Kluyveromyces lactis: one gene and its partner. The protein of the gene in region 1 interacts with the protein of each later gene in a pairwise test. Links are inferred from orthologs where the notes say so. Each region holds a gene or a part of one and is shown on either strand. Other genes may lie near its edges.

What was found. The genes of interacting proteins can lie anywhere in the genome.
Region 2: the proteins of SYF1 (region 1) and CLF1 interact in binary tests that used the Saccharomyces cerevisiae proteins (3 or more experiments, as listed by UniProt). The link is inferred for Kluyveromyces lactis from reciprocal best matches to the Saccharomyces cerevisiae genes SYF1 and CLF1.

What each region holds. Positions count from the first base shown.
Region 1 is NC_006037.1:178,055-182,068, forward strand, and holds SYF1 (mRNA splicing protein SYF1), read right to left. Parts: upstream 2,801-4,014; coding exon 404-2,800; downstream 1-403. Other genes in the region: AFG1 (Afg1p), read left to right, coding at 1-284; VMA8 (H(+)-transporting V1 sector ATPase subunit D), read left to right, coding at 3,220-4,014. UniProt on the Saccharomyces cerevisiae protein: Involved in pre-mRNA splicing and cell cycle control.
Region 2 is NC_006042.1:1,644,239-1,648,146, forward strand, and holds CLF1 (Clf1p), read left to right. Parts: upstream 1-1,353; coding exon 1,354-3,408; downstream 3,409-3,908. Other genes in the region: MTQ2 (S-adenosylmethionine-dependent methyltransferase), read right to left, coding at 1-407; NEDD8 family protein RUB1, read left to right, coding at 665-813, 915-999; mRNA splicing protein MSL5, read right to left, coding at 3,510-3,908. UniProt on the Saccharomyces cerevisiae protein: Involved in pre-mRNA splicing and cell cycle progression. Required for the spliceosome assembly by promoting the functional integration of the U4/U6.U5 tri-snRNP particle into the U1-, U2-dependent pre-spliceosome.

The DNA of each region.
Region 1 (4,014 bases):
ACGATAACGGTGGTAAATTAGCTACCACTGGTGCAGATGACTTCACCTCACTATTCGTGGAACCAGAAGATATTGTCAACGACTATGAGCTTAAACCAGCAGATCAAATGAAACATGAAGATGAACCTGAAGTAGAGGATGAATTGGTCAGTAAACACGGATTTTCTAAGGATATTGCCAAAAAAGCACAGATTTTCGCATTAGATGAAGAACGGTTTGCATTTGCAAGAGCCCTAAGTAGATTATCCCACATGAGTTCAACTGATTGGGTCGAAAAACAGTAAGATACTAGTGTTTTTGTATGTTACACGTCATCAAAGAAAGACAATACGACATCTTCCAAAACAAAACATAAGAGATTGATCGATATGCCATTATCAACTTTAATCAATATATATCCATTTTATAGACCTAAATCAATTTCAGCCGTATTTGAGTATCCTTTATCTTCTGCGCTTGGTGGTCCGCTTCCACTAATTTTCGCAGTTGACGCCCTAAATTCGATGCTATCTGCATGTCTGGATACTTCCTCTGTATTTACTTTCATTGTGTCCTCTAGGAACCTACGTGCTTTTAGCATGTTCTTGAACGAGTCTTTTGTACCGTGCATAGTTTCGAAATTCCTCCAGAAATCCCAAAGTTCTTCATTCTGTGCGGGCTTCAGTAATTTGCTCCCGTAGTCTAACAATGCTCTACAACGAGCAACCTCATTACGCGATTCTTCTAAGATAGCAAATGGAAGTAGAAACTTGATTGCTTTAGAATTGGGCAATGTTTCTATACATTCTTCATATAGTTTTCTGGTGTGATTGACGTCCAATTGTTTTTCACTTCTATTGATGCATTCTTCCCATAAAGTACATTTACTTTCAAGATCCGAAATATTCTTGGCTCCTTTGTGCAAAATCTCGACACTTCTCTCGTGGAAACCAAGGTTTAACTCAAAGTCGCTGTACTTTTCAAAGAACGAAACACATGCCACTCCTGAAGCTGCAAGCTTAATAGCAGATTCAAAAATATCTCTTTTTTGCTCTTTAGTGATATCAGCTTTGAGTGCCACATCCAGATATATATCCCAAATAGACTTCGATACGCTTGGAGGAAAAATCTCAACACTCCTTTCGAAAACAGCCAAAGCTTCTGCTTGATGGCCAGAAGATTCATTTAATAACGCATAATTAATAAACATGGCTGGTGTTGCTGCCTTGATGAGTATTGCTGTTTCATACGCATTTACAGCTGTACCATAGTTTCCTTTGACCTCCAATAAGTCAAGGTACATTGCCCATAAGCGTTTAGATGAGAAAATTGCTGCTTGTGCTGGCGATTCTCCTTTCTCAAATTTTTGTAGGAGTAATTCATGATTATCTGGTATTTCTAATACAACGGACAAAACTTTTATGGCATCGTCAATGCTTCTTTTTAGTCTGTATTCACACCAATATAACCAAACATTTTCAAGATCTACTAAAAATTTGAAAGGGACGTTAGTGGCTTTGTCCAGCAAGACCTCGGATTTTTCAATATCCTCTTCAAAAAGTCTGCAATATTGACACCATAATTCTCCTAATAGCCCTGGAGTAGTCTGAAGTCTATAGTCCACGGTAAGAACAGCATCTGCATAAACTTTAGCTTTATCAGAGATGGTATCAAAAAGCTTCACTCGTTCTAGCCACAATTTGATGTTGTTGGGTTCTCGCCTCAATTCTAAGTCGTTTAATCTAATAGTGTGGTTTTTTATTAATGAGGTTAGAGTGTCGGCATGTAGTCTTATATTTGCGAACAGCCGTTGCTTTTCTGAATTATCGTCTTTCATCTTTTGAATTAATTCTTGGGTCAATAGCTCCTCCATACGAATCCAAAAATCATATAATACAGAAAATTCGATAATGTCTTTAGTTTCGCTTATAACTTTCTCTAAGTACAGCTCAGCTTCCGTTATTTTTCCTTGACGTATCAGGTTAAATATCAAATATGTCTTAAGTTCACCCTTCTTGAAAGGGAATAATTCGATACATTGGTCCACTACCGCAGCAACCCCTGCTGAATTATCCACAAGAATCATTGAAGTGATGTAACTAACGTAAAGTTCAAATAAACTTGTCTGAGATGGCTTTAAATTAGGTGATAGATGTTTTTCAAATACTCGAACGATCGTGCTCCAATCATGAGTCTTAAAAATGTAGATCAATAAAGGCTCTATGTCGTCACAAATAAGTGAATATCTCTGTAGGATTGAGGAAGACCAGAGGTCTGTATCAAAATTCGTCGAATGCTCTCCGTGAACAAAATAGTAGATGGAATCCTCTAAAGAAAGTTCATACCTCTTGTTGTCTATTAACAATTCATTGATAATGAAATCGATGACAACACGCCATATTGCTTCATGGTACTCCCACGACATTGATCGTAGCGCTTTTCCAAGCAGTTCTCTAATCCTCTTCAAATCCTTAAACTGTATTACCCATTCCATATACATAATCCATGCATCCCCAACTTTGCCACATGATGTTAAGCACTGTTCGAATAGTAACGATATCTTATTGTATTCATCTTTGTGCCTGAAAATATCACAATCGTTCAATAATTCTATCCTCCATTTCAAGAACTCTTTCCATAGATGCCAGTCGTCCTTGATCTCCTTCAAACAACGTTCGTATAGCCAATCTAAATTCAACTCATCGCCTGCTGATCTTTTAGTTGCCAAATATCTCGACCATGATACAGCATTGTCTCTTTCTCTAACAACACCATACTCAAACGGAATATCTTCCTCCTTGACAAATTTATCTATTTCCATCGAAACATATGTCTCTCGCAGTACCTGGTGGAAAAACAGTGCACTAACTTTACCTTAGATGGAGCTTTAATTGTAACTCATCTCATTAAACGTTTTGACATATCACCGTAAATGAAATAATATCTAAATTTCGAAATTAACCAATTTTCAAAATATCTGAAATATAAGACATTCAATCATTTGACGAAAGAAAGGTAGAAAAGGGGGGCATATATCAGCTGGGGCAGAACGTTGCAATTAGGCTGGCACTGACAAGTATCCAACCTGGAACACATTTACTTGTAATCGTTTGCTTTTTCTTTGAAAAGAACTGTTTTTCTACTGTACCAATCAGGTGAGTTTGGTACTAAGCGTACTGATAACATATTACAGCAAGGAAGGAACGACTTCACTCCTAGCATCTTGAATTTTATCGAAAAATGTCTAGTAATAGGGAACAGGTTTTCCCCACTCGTATGACCTTGGGTCTTATGAAGACTAAGTTAAAGGGTGCTAATCAGGGTTATTCTTTGTTGAAGAGAAAGTCTGAAGCATTAACGAAGAGATTCCGTGATATCACTAAAAGAATAGATGATTCAAAGCAGAAGATGGGCAGAGTGATGCAAACAGCTGCGTTCTCTTTGGCGGAGGTCACATATGCTACAGGTGAAAATATAGGGTACCAAGTTCAAGAGAATGTTGCCAATGCAAGATTCAAAGTTAGGGCCACGCAAGAAAACGTGAGTGGTGTGTACTTGCCTCAATTTGAATCATTCATCGACTCCAACATCAACGACTTCAAAATGACAGGTCTAGGTCGTGGTGGTCAACAAGTTCAGCGTGCTAAGGAAATTTACTCAAGGGCTGTTGAAACACTAGTTGAATTGGCTTCGTTACAAACGGCTTTCATTATCTTGGACGAAGTTATCAAAGTTACCAACCGTAGAGTGAATGCCATTGAACATGTGATCATTCCAAGAACGGAAAACACCATTGCTTATATCAACTCCGAGCTAGACGAATTGGATAGAGAAGAGTTTTATAGATTGAAGAAAGTGCAAGAAAAGAAACAGATTCAAACTGCTCAGTTGGATGCTGAAATGAAGCAGAAGAAATTAGATGAAGCAAATGCTGAGTCTGAAGGTAAACCAGATTCTCAAGAAGCGACCAAAACTGGCGTAGAAGCTGCCGACACACAAGAACAAGAAGAACAATCTGGCCCACAAGTAGAAGCT
Region 2 (3,908 bases), on another chromosome or scaffold:
GAATGAGGCAGTTCTGGTACAGTTTCTGCAGGTACATATGGTGGATTAAAGACAAGCAGGTCGACCTCATTTTCCCTTATTGAAGACGTAAGGTCTGTTTGTAATACATCAAAATGGCTATTCTTGCAACCATTCTTCGAACAAGTGTCTAAGGTAGCGTCCAATGCCCAAGGGTTCAAATCAGTTGCCAAATAAAGTCCATTGGCGTTTGGTATACCATTTTGCATAAGAAACGTAGAGACTATCCCAGAACCAGAACCAATTTCTATAGTCAATGGTACTGCGTCATTGAACCTGTTATTCAACCAACTCAGATCAGCTTCTAATGCATCTAATAAAAGAAAAGAGTCCTCGCTTGGCTCGTATACTTTATTATAATCATAAGAGACGTATGGTGTAGCTAGCATCGCCCTGTTATCCTAAGCCCTGATGAGCTATAGCTCGCATCAATATCTGTTCTGCACCTGTATCTTTTCAAACATGGAAGTCATCGCATATATAATATTGTATTTGAAAAGTTGATATTGAACAATAACGTATGCAAAAGGTCATCTAAAAGAAAGTAATTAAATTGAAGCTTAACAACTAGTCTACTGTTTGATACAACTATTAATCACCATTTTCAGAGAATCGACAATCAGTTGCTTGTTTGTGGTTGAGAAAGATGCAATTAAAGGTCAAGACATTAACAGGGAAGGAAATCTCCGTAGATGTTCAAAGTTCAGAAACGGTCTATCATATCAAAGAGCTATTAGAAGAAAAAGAGGGTATTCCACCATCACAGCAGAAGTTGATCTTCCAGGGCAAACAAATGTATGTTAATTAACTGATAATTCAGAACTGAGAAGAGTTTGATATCAAATTAATGTAGGGACTCTTTTACTAACTAGTAAGTAATGCTATCTTTAAATCAGAGATGATAACGCAACAATCGGCAGTGCCGACTTGCAAGATGGATCTCTTTTACATCTTGTTCTAACTTTAAGAGGCGGTTGTTGAGAGCCATGTGTCATTGCATTGCGAAACCTCAAGATACGTATGTGTATAAGTATTTTGCAGATAAATACCTGGAGGAATTACTCTGCATTTAATAAAACGACTATAATTATTGGAAGCTAACACTATGAATGACATAATTTACATTTACACGACCGTCCAATTATCAAACAAAGGAAGGATGTAACACATGCTTGTTGCTTTTCCTTGTATGCATGAATGAACCTTATAAATACATAATGATTCAGATATCAAATTTAGTGCGAACATTATAATTGTAGAAACAGATGAACTTAACGACAACGATGCAAACAAAAGTAAGAAAAACACGGATAACTTACCTGACTATACTGTAACATGGGTGACAATAGTTTATCCAATGAAGCCATCACTGCCGATAATATTTTGAAGGATGCCTTTAGCCAAAAGAAGCAGATTGCAGCTACTACGAAGGCAGATATATTAGATTTGGAAGAACTGAAAGACTGGCAACGAAGGAAAAGAACAGAGTATGAGACAGTTTTGAAAAGAAATAGGTTAGACCTTCGTCAATGGATGAGGTATGCTCAATTTGAATTTGATCAGAAAGATATACGAAGAGCTAGGTCCATTTATGAACGCGCTCTTCTTGTTGATCATGGGTTTATTCCACTATGGATTCAATACATCGACAGTGAAATCAAATGGAAAAATATCAACCATGCAAGGAACTTGTTAGACAGAGCAACAAACGCTCTTCCTCGTGTTGATAAGCTCTGGTTCAAATATCTTTTATTGGAAGAATCTTTGGGAAATCAGGGTATTGTACGAGGCATTTATACAAGATGGTGTTCATTTGAACCTGGTCCCGATGCATGGGACTCCTTCATCGAGTTCGAAACAAGGTGCTTGAATTTTGAAAATGTCAGGAACATTTACTCGAAGTTTGTTCTAGTCCATCCTCAAATAGATACCTGGTTGAAATGGGTTCGTTTTGAACAAACTCATGGAGATATATCATCCGTACGAACAGTGTTCTCATTCGCGCTAGACACACTCACAAGTTTCAGCGGAACACCACTGGTAGATATTGAACGAGTTATTGGTAGCTTCGCTTCCTGGGAAGCTTCTCAGGGAGAGTATGAACGATCTAGAACGTTATACCGACTAGCAGTTGAAAGATGGCCAATTTCTGAAGCATTAAAGGAACAGCAGATTCAGTTCGAGAAGAAGTTCGGCTCTTCGAAAAATATGGAGGACATAGTAATCGCTAAAAGGAAAGCCGAGTACGAGCAATATCTAAAATCAGATCCCTATCATTATTCTACTTGGTGGGTCTATATTGACCTGGTTGAGGAAAAATATCAAGAGCAATTGACATCAGCTTTCCAGTCGTTCATTGAATTGGCAAAGCCGAAGTCCCTGGTAAAGGATTCGAGCTGGAAGAGGTACATAAGAATCTGCGTACGATACTTGGTCTATCTAGAGCTCACCATTAATGATTTGCCTACGATACGCTCGGTTTATCAAGACATCCTCGACATCATTCCACATAAGAAGTTTACATTCGGTAAACTGTGGATAATGTATGCAGAATTCGAAATTAGGCAGAACAACTTGCTGAAAGCAAGAAAAATTCTGGGTGTGAGCTTAGGAAAGTCCCCCAAGCCAAAAGTGTTTAAATATTACATCAATTTGGAGATAAGGCTAAAAGAGTTTGATAGAGTGAGAAAGCTATACGAGAAATACATCGATTTCAATCCTAGTTCAGTGCAATCATGGTTGGATTATGCAGAATTAGAAGAAAATTTAGGAGATGAAGATAGATCAAGAGGGATCTATGATATCTCCATGAGCAATAATGTTGGATTATCTGAATCGGACCAGCTGATTGTCATTCAGCGCTATATCGCTTTTGAAACTGATGCAGCAGAATATGAAAAGGCTAGAGAGTTGTACGAGAAGTATTTGATTTTGAGTAGATATGACGTGAACATATGGATAAACCAGGCGCTTTTCGAGAGCACTATTCCAACTGAGACCCAACTAATAGCCTATCAACAATCTCATCAAGACGGGAATTTTGACGACGATGGCGAAGAGGAGTTCAGTTTTGAAATTACACCTGAGAATAAGCATCACACCAGGGCTATTTTTGAGAAGGCAATTTCATATTTCAAAGAACATAATGAAGATAAGAAACGCCAGCAAGTTTTACAATCTCTCCTGGAGTATGAGAAAGTTCATGGTAATCAAGAAACTTTGGAAAAGGTCAATGCTAGACAACCAAGTTTGGTTAGGGAAAAAGTTACTATCGATAACATTGAGCAAGAGTCATATAAATTGGATTTTCCGGACGATCGTGTTGCTCAACCTCCTATTGCTCGAAATCTTCTAGCTTTGGCAAAACAATGGGAGAAAAATTCCAGCTGATATGTAACTTTATATTCATATACAGATAATACAATTGTAGATTTAGAACACGCATTTAATCAGGTTGGCATATAGGCTATTGAGAAAAAATACGAATTGTATTAATTATTCGTTTCATTATCGGTAAAACTTTGTGGCAACTGGTTTGACGGTATCGAACTGGGTGTTGATATCGTAGAAGGGGTAAGCCCAGGTGCATTCATTGTCGGTACAGATCCTGGGGGCATTAATCCTGGAGGAACGTTGCCTGGTGCTGCTGCCAATCCTGGTGCTGCCAATCCTGGTGCTGCCAATCCTGGTGCTGCCAATCCTGGTGCTGCCAATCCTGGTGCTGCCAATCCTGGTGCTGCCAATCCTGGTGCTGCCATTCCTGGTGCTGCCATTCCTGGTGCTGCCATTCCGGGAGGAGATAAACCTGGGGGTGCCATTCCTGGAGTAGCAATATTTAAGTTTCCTTCAGTGATACCTATTCCAGACGTTGAATTTTCTGCAGCCAGAGA